3 linked regions of the Xenopus tropicalis genome follow. The protein of the gene in region 3 interacts with the protein of the main gene of each other region in a pairwise test. Links are inferred from orthologs where the notes say so. Each region holds a gene or a part of one and is shown on either strand. Other genes may lie near its edges.

Region 1 (4,329 bases), on a different chromosome or scaffold from region 3:
CCACAGGAACCAAGGGTTGCAATAACCTCCCATACTGATACAGAGGCTCTCGCTGAACTCAATAGGCCAGACTGCAGCTGAAGCCCAAGGAAAAGAGGTGCATCTGGGGGTCTGTACCAGGCAAGTAGGAATAAAGGGTCTTAGTAACCTGCAGCAATAGGGTCTTTCTACTCTACCTGTGCCCTGTGGTGTCTTGTGGGGGGAATCAGCACTATGGGGGGGTCCCCAACGCTGGGGGGTAAAGCCATATGAGCAGTGAGCCCTAATTCCCATTGAGACTGAGGGTCGCCTGTACGTACTGGGCCGGTGCAAATCCAAGAAGATAAATGATATTTTTGATGCTCAGAGATGAAATGAGATTTTCTGACAATTACTTGGGATGAATGAGCCGGTCCCGGGGCTAATTAAGGAAATGTAATAAGTAAATCAATGGTTTATTGTCAGCTCTAATGGGCACCACAAGTACCCCCCCCCCACCCTGATTTACTGGCACCCCATTGTCTTACTGCCGGCACAGTAATGTCACTCACTTCCACATGGCCTTCATTGTGCTCTGTACACTGGTTGCTAAGGCCACTGCATCTGGCAACCACTGTCCATTCTTGTGTCTACATCTGCTATTCAGAATGCTTGGGAACTGGTAACTATACCAGCTTAGTATGGCAGCATAGGGATTCCCCTGTACTAAGTACAATTCAGCAGGAACAGCCCCCTAAGTTTGCTCATAGCCTGTACAGAGAGATACCATAAAACTATGGCACATAGGGATTCCCCTGTACTAAGCACAATTCAGCAGGAACAGCCCCCTAAGTTTGCCCATAGCCTGTACAGAGAGATACCATAAAACTATGGCACATAGGGATTCCCCTGTTCTAAGCACAATTCAGCAGGAACAGCCCCCTAAGTTTGCCCATAGCCTGTACAGAGAGATACCATAAAACTATGGCACATAGGGATTCCCCTGTACTAAGCACAATTCAGCAGGAACAGCCCCCTAAGTTTGCCCATAGCCTGTACAGAGAGATACTATAAAACTATGGCACATAGGGATTCCCCTGTTCTAAGCACAATTCAGCAGGAACAGCCCCCTAAGGTTGATTTAACACCCTGTACATACACAAGTATTTGCACTGATAAAAAGAGTCCGTTCATTAAAATACTCCCCTGAGAGTGTAACAAATGGGGAAACTACTGAAGTGCTGAGAATCCCCAGTCTGATGTACCCCTATTGCTGTAGCACAGGGAGGAGTCACACAACAACAACACTGGGGGCAATAAATATGGTGCTGACTTATTATAGGAAAGGCGGCAGCAGCATCACAAGGGAGTCACTGGGTCTCATAATTAAAGGCCAAGGGCACAAAAAGCAATAAAAAGTGCCCCATGGGGCAAACACTGCTTCTGTGAGATGTTTCTGTATTGCAGTATGGCACCCCAACGTGTGTCACATGGGGCCGAGTTAACCCCTTCCACTCAATCAGAACAGCAGGGGAGGGACAGAGACTGGCCCAGGGTCTCAGAGACAGATCAAGATTTGCCTGAGAGTAATTATAACAGTAACAATACTCCAGCTTGGGAGTTACTCCTGAACTACAGCTCCCATCACCCCTTTCCCATGCAGGCAGTCAGCTGGGAGTAGGGAATGAGTGACAGGGCTTTAGGGGGATGCTGGGAGTAGGGAATGAGAGGTAAGTAAGTCAGTAGGGGATGCTGGGAGTAGGGAATGAGAGGTAAGTAAGTCAGTAGGGGATGCTGGGAGTAGGGAATGAGAGGTAAGTAAGTCAGTAGGGGATGCTGGGTGTAGGGAATGAGAGGTAAGTAAGTCAGTAGGGGATGCTGGGTGTAGGGAATGAGAGGTAAGTAAGTCAGTAGGGGATGCTGGGTGTAGGGAATGAGAGGTGGGTAAGTCAGTAGGGGATGCTGGTGTAGGAATGAGAGGTGGGTAAGTCAGTAGGGGATGCTGGTAAGTCAGTAGGGGATGCTGGGTAAGTCAGTAGGGGATGCTGGGTAAGTCAGTAGGGGATGCTGGGTAAGTCAGTAGGGGATGCTGGGTAAGTCAGTAGGGGATGCTGGGTAAGTCAGTAGGGGATGCTGGGTAAGTCAGTAGGGGATGCTGGGTAAGTCAGTAGGGGATGCTGGGTAAGTCAGTAGGGGATGCTGGGTAAGTCAGTAGGGGATGCTGGGTAAGTCAGTAGGGGATGCTGGGTAAGTCAGTAGGGGATGCTGGGTAAGTCAGTAGGGGATGCTGGGTAAGTCAGTAGAGGATGCTGGGTAAGTCAGTAGGGGATGCTGGGTAAGTCAGTAGGGGATGCTGGGTAAGTCAGTAGGGGATGCTGGGTAAGTCAGTAGGGGATGCTGGGTAAGTCAGTAGGGGAATGCTGGGTAAGTCAGTAGGGGATGCTGGGTAAGTCAGTAGGGGATGCTGGGTAAGTCAGTAGGGGATGCTGGGTAAGTCACGTAGGGGGATGCTGGGTAACGTCATAGTAGGGGATGCTGGGCAAGTCAGTAGGGGATGCTGGGCAAGTCAGTAGGGGATGCTGGGTAGTCAGTCAGGGATGCTGGGTAAGTCAGTTGGGGATGCTGGGTAAGTCAGTAGGGGATGCTGGGTAAAGGGTGGCATGTCAGTAGGGGATGCTGGGTAAGTCAGTAGAGGATGCTGGGTAAGTCAGTAGAGGATGCTGGGTAAGTCAGTAGAGGATGCTGGGAGTAGGGGACTAGTTCCATTACACGGCTGTGGGGAGAAGCCTATGGACCGGCTGAAGTGAGAGTGAAGATATAAGGGGGTGCCGGTAGAAGCACAAGACAAACGCCGCCCCCCCCCGCCCCACTCACCTCCTGGTCTCCCTTCGCCGCTCCCGGTCCCTCTCTTGCTCCCAGCTCCCCGGGCGCGGCTCCTCCTCCCCCAACTTCCTGCAACCGCTACGGGTCTCGGGCTGGGACATAATTACCAAGCGCGGTACGCTAATGGGCGTGGCTTTGTGTGGCGCCAACGTCCCGCCTCCTCCGGCGCATGCGCACCGCTGTATTCTACTTTCCCTCAACTTGTGTGTGGCTTCCGGTGTTGTGGGACACGGGTAGGGTTGCCAGGTTAGCGGTTTTCCCGCCAAATTGGGCTACTAATTTAATGCCCTGGCGGGTTTCCAAAGTACAACCCCCCAAAGGTGCAGGTTTGGGCTATTTTTTGGAGCCTTAGCGGGTTTGTAGTTTTGAAACTAGCTAACGTTTTTCCCTCCCTAGTGTGCCTGTCCCACTGCATGCTGGGTAATGTAGTTTGTATCTAACAATTAGCCTACAGCAAGGATTTATATAAAACTACAATACCCAGCATGCAATTGGACATAGGCTCAACCTGTCTGTTCTGCAACCTGCTCCCTGCTCTATAGGGAATGTGATTGTACTGTTACTTTCTACTGGGATGTGGGGCAGTTCTACCCCCTGCTCTATAGGGAATGTGATTGTACTGTTACTTTCTACTGGGATGTGGGGCAGTTCTACCCCCTGCTCCCTGCTCTATAGGGTATGTGATTGTACTGTTACTTTCTACTGGGATGTGGGGGTAGTTCTGCAGTTTGTCATTAAGCTATAACTCTCAGGGTATCTCAGGGGCTGCTGGGAGTTGTAGTTCAATGTACCCATATATATATATATCATATCTGGGGTTAATGGAACATTCTGAATCCATTTCTGTAGTGACTTCCCAGCTGGACTGGGCACAGAGGGAATTACCAGCCATCCCAGTAACTGGGCAGTGATTATACGCTTTAATAAGGCAGGTTTCCCCATATATACTTGTATTTTTTTAGAATTTTTTTCATTGCGTATATTGGGCTATTTTTGGGCTACTTACAAAGTGGCTTTTGGCTAGTTTTGGGCTGGTTTTAGAACTGACTTTGGCTAGTTTGGAAAAATAAATCTGGCAACCCTGGACATGGGATATAAGCGGGGGGTTATGGGTATCAGCGATTGCAACCGATCCGAGCTCATGTGGGTGATAATGATTCATTCTTGAAACATTATGAGAGGAATTATACTTAAAAACACATGCATACAAAAACTGCCTAATTTTTCTGAATGCAGATAATAAGCTCTGTATAAACAAAGCCCCCCTTCCCTAAGCTGCTGCTCATTATACAGAGGTTTTGTCTATGGGCTGGTCATTTCTTTTATTTCCTACATCTCTGCTGATGGGGATCTCTTACTTAATCAACAGGCGTTTGTGTTGTACAAGGGGGTGGAGAAAAAAAATTCCTCTAACTAAAGGGGAACTAACGCTTTAGGAATAGTCATTTAATAGAGCAATTTCATTGGCTCACCTTTGAGTGCTGTGAA
Region 2 (4,301 bases), on a different chromosome or scaffold from region 3:
TTATGAAAAACATATGAGTTCAGAAAACAGGGTGGGAGGGAGATGCAGCTCCTCTCCTTGTTAGTGTGGGAGCGGGAGCGCAGCGTGGTGGAGCATGGCGGAAGAGGCGGGGGCAGGAAACAGGAGGGGACCCTTTTCTAATACGCTGCTCTGCGCGGGAAGGGGGGATCAGGTGAGTTAACCCCTTACATGCCTGGGGGTCATTAGCATATTGCTAGCTCCCCAGTCCCTCAGTGCCTTCTCTATTCTTTTCAGCACTCTCCAAGTGGGGTGTGGCTATCACAAGGGTGGCAAGGTTTACCATCCTCCTTGTTGATGAGGGGTTTACCCTAAATGATTCCATGGAATACTGTATTACAATATAGATTGTAAGCTCTAGGGGGCAGGGACCTCCATCCTCTTGTGTCTTTGACTCTTAACTTATTGCAACTGTATTTATCTTGTATTTATGTGTATTTATTGTTATACTTTGTATTTATCTATTATTATCTTAAAGGAGAAGGAAAGGCAAAGTCACTTGGGGGTGCCAAAATGTAAGGCACCCCCAAGTGACTTGAATCGCATACCTTTTACCCCGGGCTGGTGCCCCTGTTCAGAGAGAACAGCACCTGTAGCGATTCCTCCTTCCGTCTTCGCTCGCGCGCAGTAGAGTGAATAGTGGAACTTTAACAGAGAAGTCGGCTTTTCACTCAACTGCGCATGCGCCTATTGTGTTAGTCTTAGAGAAACGAAGCCGGAAGGAGGAAGCGCATCACTACAGCTACCCCGGGCTGGTGCTGTTTTCTCCTAACAGCGGCACCAGCCCGGGGTACGAGGTAAGCGATTTAAGTCACTTGGGGGTGCCTAACATTTTAGCACCCCCAAGTGACTTAGCCTTTCCTTCTCCTTTAATAATCGTATTCTACTGTGCAGCACTGTGTACATAAGTAGCGCTTTATAAATAAAGATATACATACATACTGTCAGGATGTCATACTTATAAAAGCTTACATGGTAGGGGCCCTGCTGGTAAATCTGCTATTGCCAGTACTTTGGTGGCCAGAGCAAACAAGGTATGGGTTCTAGAACATAGGAAACAATCAAGCAAAGGGCAGGCAGAGCCAAACAGTTCAACACATCAAGATACAGAATAAATACATGGCTGAAACCTGTTGATACTGTAAAGTTAGTTGCATTTATAAGTATAATTTATGAGTATCTCATTGACAGCCAGGAGTTTGTGGTTTAAAGGGAAACTGATTTGGATCAGATAAAAAGCTTCCAGAGAAACGAAAATATACACGACTTGTAAGTACATTGGGAGCTGTGGGGGTGAAAGTGAAGGCCGTGGCGAGACACAACACAAAAGATTTTTTTTTTATTCTGTAACAAAAGTAGGACGAGCATAAACAAAACAGATTTAGATGGGTGCTATCGCGAGTTACCAGCAGCTTCTGACTGTACAAACCTTAGTTAGGCCAGCTCGCCACTCCCACAAAGCAGCTCCGTGACGCGCCTCTGCGCTTTACGTGCAGTCGTGACGCTAATCTCGCGTGATGAGACTTGTGGCGGGATTTCCTGTGTGACAGGAGGCTGGGATCCTGCAGCTGTAAGTAGCGAAATGGCAGTGCGGGCTGCCTTAGCGGGACTGTTGGGCAGTATGAAAGCTGTGTAGGAGAAAGAACATGCAGGCGCTCTAGCAACCCCCGATAGCGGCCCTGCAAGGACCCACACATTTAATCCCAGAGGTGCTGCTGCTGCTGCCGCCTGTAGAAGCCCTGCTCTGTGTCACCCTGTCTGTATCAAAATAGCTCCTGTGGGGCCAAACCCAGCAGGGCCCTACCAAAATAGCTCCTGTGGGGCCAAACCCAGCAGGGCCCTACCAAAATAGCTCCTGTGGGGCCAAACCCAGCAGGGCCCTAAGGAGGCTGCTAGAAATTGCACACCAGTCTTCCCGATCTCCATATATAGAGTGAGCTCTGTTTCTGGGTAGTATTGGTTAGCTGTATAGGAGAAAGTATTGGTTGTATTGGTTAGCTGTATAGGAGAAAGGATTGGTTGTATTGGTTAGCTGTATAGGAGAAAGGATTGGTAGTATTGGTTAGCTGTATAGGAGAAAGGATTGGTTGTATTGGTTAGCTGTATAGGAGAAAGGATTGTTTGTATTGGTTAGCTGTATAGGAGAAAGGATTGGTAGTATTGGTTAGCTGTATAGGAGAAAGGATTGGTTGTATTGGTTAGCTGTATAGGAGAATGGATTGGTAGTATTGGTTAGCTGTATAGGAGAAAGGATTGGTTGTATTGGTTAGCTGTATAGGAGAAAGGATTGGTAGTATTGGTTAGCTGTATAGGAGAAAGGATTGGTAGTATTGGTTAGCTGTATAGGAGAAAGGATTGGAAGTATTGGTTAGCTGTATAGGAGAAAGGATTGGTTGTATTGGTTAGCTGTATAGGAGAAAGGATTGGTTGTATTGGTTAGCTGTATAGGAGAAAGGATTGGTAGTATTGGTTAGCTGTATAGGAGAAAGGATTGGTTGTATTGGTTAGCTGTATAGGAGAAAGGATTGGTTGTATTGGTTAGCTGTATAGGAGAAAGGATTGGTAGTATTGGTTAGCTGTATAGGAGAAAGGATTGGTAGTATTGGTTAGCTGTATAGGAGAAAGGATTGGAAGTATTGGTTAGCTGTATAGGAGAAAGGATTGGTTGTATTGGTTAGCTGTATAGGAGAAAGGATTGGTTGTATTGGTTAGCTGTATAGGAGAAAGGATTGGTTGTATTGGTTAGCTGTATAGGAGAAAGGATTGGTTGTATTGGTTATCTGTATAGGAGAAAGGATTGGTTGTATTGGTTCGCTGTATAGGAGAAAGGATTGGTAGTATTGGTTAGCTGTATAGGAGAAAGGATTGGTTGTATTGGTTAGCTGTATAGGAGAAAGGATTGGTTGTATTGGTTAGCTGTATAGGAGAAAGGATTGGTTGTATTGGTTAGCTGTATAGGAGAAAGGATTGGTAGTATTGGTTAGCTGTATAGGAGAAAGGATTGGTAGTATTGGTTAGCTGTATAGGAGAAAGGATTGGTTGTATTGGTTAGCTGTATAGGAGAAAGGATTGGTTGTATTGGTTAGCTGTATAGGAGAAAGGATTGGTTGTATTGGTTAGCTGTATAGGAGAAAGGATTGGTTGTATTGGTTAGCTGTATAGGAGAAAGGATTGGTAGTATTGGTTAGCTGTATAGGAGAAAGGATTGGAAGTATTGGTTAGCTGTATAGGAGAAAGGATTGGTAGTATTGGTTAGCTGTATAGGAGAAAGGATTGGAAGTATTGGTTAGCTGTATAGGAGAAAGGATTGGAAGTATTGGTTAGCTAATCTAATGTGTAGCGCTGGCTCCTTCTGAAAGCTCAGACTCGGGCACAATGCACTGAGATGGTTGTTGGTTCAAGAATAAAATTTTAAATGGTTGAGTGAATCCCTATATAAAATATAGTTCTCATAATAGCACCTACTGATTCGTTGGCCATTTTGCCACCTTTATCCATCTAGTAATCCACCAGCGCCTGGTACCTGTATGCTGTCTCAAACTCTTCTTCTTCTTATATCTTATTTATTTTTACTGTTTTTGAACCGCTTGTGATATTTAATTTTTTTTTAACTTTTTGTGTAATCTAAATATATTTTAACTCCCCATTTAATATGCTTATCATTATGCAACATATGTCACATCCTGATTTTTATCCATGAGATATTTATCTTTTGTTAAACGTAAAGAGATGCCAGACATATTGAAATGTTGTTATTATGAGCTAAATCTTGGTCTTACATATCTTTATTTGCTGTTTTACAGATTTATATCTATGATATGAAATAAGAATTGGATAAAAATGACAGCCATCAAGCACGCTCTGCAAAGGGATATTTTTACTCCTAATGATGAACGGCTGCTGAGTATTGTAAATGTGTGCAAGGCAGGAAAGAAAAAGAAAAACTGCTTCCTGTGTGCTACAGGTATGAGAAACATTGCTATTGCACTATATAGAACATACTGTATCCAGAATATACTATGTTTGTGATAGTATTTTACTTTTACCATGTGCTGATTTCTGGATAAAAGTGAGCACAGCATTATTATGCACATAGGCTTCTTTTTTATTAAAGAGCATATAAACATTGCAGCTTACTGCTGGGTTGAGAGAGGTAATGCTACAACACAATTCCTAATATACTGAGCAACATAGTGATCAGCTTGTAGGCTAATGGTGCATATGGGGTGTTTTAACGTCCACTCTCGCTGCTTCTAGTTCTAATTACTCTCTTTAGCATTCCA
Region 3 (3,650 bases):
TAAAGAGTGTAAACATTTGTAGATATTCACCCACTTCACCAAAAATGTAAAAAATCCTGCACTATCTTTGACACTATTCTCCAACCTATTTTATTTAATGAACAAATAGTTGCCATGTGTGAGCTGGGTTTTTTTTTTTTACAGTCTTCTATAGCTATAAATCTATTTGTAATTTAACCCTGTAAAGATATTCCAGTGTTTTCCATAAAGCAGAACTTCATTTTGTTTTGGTAATTTCAGGTATTTGCAGTTTCCAAAGAACTGGTGCCCAGAGTAATGGCAAGGATTGTAGAAGCAGTAGGTGATGAACTGAGCCGGTTAATGCAGTGTGTGTCCTCCTTCAGCAGAAATGGGGCTTTGCAGGTATATCAGTGCTATATCAGTTCTTCTTTAATAATAAAATTAGTTTGCATCTTTATCAAATCATATAGCTCCATTCATATACAATATGTATGTTCCTAATGTTTTTTGTCATCATTGGCCAGTATTCCTAGTTAAAGCTGAATTATCCCAAGAGGTTTTTCTAGAACATGGTTTCAGTTTTTTAAAAACAAACCTCATAGAGGTGGGGGCAATATTTTATAATCTGTATAGTATGCTTCTCTATTTGTGAAAAGCATATTGTACGTTGCTTGTAGGCTCTTCGGTAGTCATGTGCAGGTTCAAAGAAAATTGATCTGCATCAGCCCATACCCACCTGCTCCCATCCCATGCCAGACCTATTTTTAGACTCTTCCATGACCCACCTATCTCTGACTTCATGAAGGGCAGACACATGAATAGGGGTTGCAGGAGGTGGAAGTGGAGCATACTAAGGTCTGGGGGGGTGGGAAGAAGGAATAGTTCTTCCCAAACTCGCCCACCACCTGCAAAGAAAGTGTGTAGAATCAGCCCCAACCCATTCAGCCTAGGGTAAAATTGCTCATCACTACTCTTCAGAGCAGGGACCATATTCAAACAGTGTATTGCAACACCTAGATATTTTGACTTTATTCTTATTGTTTAAAGTATATATTTTACCTATAGCTCTGTTTACGCTCCCTCCTTGTAAAGCAGTGTGTACCACAGTGGTGCAATATAAATATATAATCAAAATATGAACATCTCAAAATGAATCTGGCCATGTTATAAAAGTATAAACATATATAATTGTAGTCCGAGCACAATCGTTGACAGCAAACAGGATTTTCTTTAGAGCCCCAACACTGCATAGTGTGTTAGTAATAAATAAATGCCTGGAAACTTAATTAGCAAAAATGAAGTATGCTTTCCTGTTGAAATCTGTTTGGATTAAAGAAAATTACAGTTAGATGCATTGTTAAGTGCGTCATTGACTAAACAAGAAGAGTAATTTCTAATGGGATCTATGCAGAAAAAATTTACCTGCACCCACCTACAACCCAGTTGCACTTGTAGGGTGCTATAAGCCTCTCACAGCCCAATCCACTGTGCGAATGTCCATGTTCAACACTAACCATTTGGGCAACCACTAAAATATTTTATCCTATTGGTCGCGTGTTGCCATATTGCTTGGTACATTTTAATTAAGAATAGCTAAAAATCAATAAATTGCTTTTAGCCTGTTTGTGTGTTCATTGATTTTGTGGCACCATTATTAGTGGCATTACAGAGGGTGAGAAATCGTATAAAATGAATACACATTAATTGTTTTTATATCTGTCACTTTTTTGATTTATTTGTAGGCGAGACTTGAGCTTTATGCTCTGAGAGATGCTATTGCTATCTACCTGACAAATGACAGCAAGTAAGTTTTTTTCCTTTATTAAATTACTAAATCATGTAAGTAATGACAGGGGATCCTAACTTTTATTTGTTCGTCTGTATTTAAAAAATAATACCAGTATGCCAATAAGTAGAAGAGCTGCTGATTGTTATCTTTGGAAATGAATCCTGTTCCTTAGGCAAAGCCAAAGCATTTATTCCCATCTACTATTTCCTACTTTTTCTCCTACCCTCTCCTCCCTGCTCTGTATCCATGCTCTCAGCCCCTCCCACACACTTTACCGCAATGTCTTTGCTCTCTACACCCCTCCAGTTTTGATTGTATAGTGTAAATTGGAATTATTGGCCAGCATGTCGGTCTGAGTTATGTGAATCTTTTCTTGTGAAATTTTCAATAAAAAACATAAAAACACAATGTCTCAATATTCTTTTAACCTCGTTCCCACTCCTTGATGTTCATGCTCTCACCTTTGTACCTTGACCCTGCATGCCTTCCATCCCATCCCATCTTCTCCAATGTCGATGTTTTCCCTCTCCTACATGCATGACTCTCCTCCCAACTCCTTGCCCAAGTTAATCATTTTCTTTCAATATTGCAGCATGAATATTTTAGCTGTGTCCATAGGCCTTCAGGTCTTCATAGGCCACTATTTTTCACAATTGTATGAACAAATTTTAGAGGATAAAATCAGTAGTATCCATACCTGACACTTATAGGGAGAAGAAAAGGCATAATCACAGGGGTGGCAATTTGTTAAGCACATTCCACAGGGCCAAAGTAATAAAAGTAAAAATGTTCATTAATGTAGAATTAAATGATAAATAAACAGTTTTTTTCTAAACTTAATGCTTAATGTCTCCGTCCTTTCTCCATTTGATTTGCATCAGGATTAAGGATTTAAATTGGCTGGTTCTTGTACAAAAATCCACCTTTGAAAATAAAGGTGTTCAAGCTCAAACCAGTCAAGCCATTTGGGCATAGTGATACATTATTCTCCATTTCTGTTTTCCATTTCAGAGAAGAAGCTAGAAAATGGGGTTCTTCAATGGAGAACTAAACCCTGATTTGGTGTTTTTCTGCAGTTTGTTCTCTTAAGACAATAAACCTTGTATCTGTGTCTTATGCATTAATAAATAAATGTGTGTGTGTCTCTCAATGCTATGTGCACCAATAAATTATGATTATAAAGAATTATTTGAAGAGAATAGAAAGACACACAACAAACTGTATTGCTCTGCTGTGTGTAATATGGACCCATTTCTATTTACAGATCCAGCTTCAAACATGCCGTGGAAGCCCTGCCGCAGCTGCCAAGTGGAAGTGATAAGAAGTGAGTCAAACACATATAAACCTTATTGGCTCCAGTGCCTCCCAAGTAAATGGAACAAATGAACATTTGAGACATGCATTTTGTATAGCCCTTGACTGAAAAGGATTAAAAAAATGTTGCTGCCAGTGAAAAATTGTGTAAAAAAAAATGGTGAAAAAATGTGCATATCCCTAATTTAGAATATATTGTAATTATATGGTCTTGGGTGGTTGCAGAATTGCTATTGTGCGGCAACCTTAGCACACTGTATAATCCCTTTCCTTCTTCAGGACCACGTCTGGCTTCTAGCTTGCATCCAGAATTTGTATAAAACCCAGAAAATGCATGTAAGCACAACTGGATTGTATGGGTTTTACCCCATTAATTGGAAAAACTAGTGCAATGCATTGCCATGGAGTCCCCTATTCAGGAACTATGGCCCAACCCATGCTACTTCAGGGTTGCACCACATCTGCAGTCTAACATGGGATTTTATTTGTGTTTACATAATTGCAAACCCATTTGGTTAATAAAAGCTCAGCTCAACCAGTTGATTTCAAATACATGGTTTAGCTCTAGTTTTACTTCTACCCATAC

What was found.
Region 1: the proteins of exoc2 (region 3) and ralb interact in a two-hybrid assay, tested with the Homo sapiens proteins (2 studies listed by BioGRID). The link is inferred for Xenopus tropicalis from reciprocal best matches to the Homo sapiens genes EXOC2 and RALB.
Region 2: the proteins of exoc2 (region 3) and exoc1 interact in binary tests that used the Homo sapiens proteins (3 or more experiments, as listed by UniProt). The link is inferred for Xenopus tropicalis from reciprocal best matches to the Homo sapiens genes EXOC2 and EXOC1.

What each region holds. Positions count from the first base shown.
Region 1 is NC_030685.2:89,161,026-89,165,354, forward strand, and holds the start of ralb (v-ral simian leukemia viral oncogene homolog B), read right to left. Parts: upstream 2,899-4,329; 5' UTR 2,833-2,898; intron 1-2,832. UniProt on the Homo sapiens protein: Multifunctional GTPase involved in a variety of cellular processes including gene expression, cell migration, cell proliferation, oncogenic transformation and membrane trafficking.
Region 2 is NC_030677.2:40,651,874-40,656,174, forward strand, and holds the start of exoc1 (exocyst complex component 1), read left to right. Parts: upstream 1-1,495; 5' UTR 1,496-1,588; intron 1,589-1,633; exon of another isoform or gene 1,634-1,727; intron 1,728-3,821; 5' UTR 3,822-3,858; coding exon 3,859-3,982; intron 3,983-4,301.
Region 3 is NC_030682.2:87,183,535-87,187,184, forward strand, and holds part of exoc2 (exocyst complex component 2), read left to right. Parts: intron 1-240; coding exon 241-363; intron 364-1,703; coding exon 1,704-1,765; intron 1,766-3,014; coding exon 3,015-3,074; intron 3,075-3,650. UniProt on the Homo sapiens protein: Component of the exocyst complex involved in the docking of exocytic vesicles with fusion sites on the plasma membrane.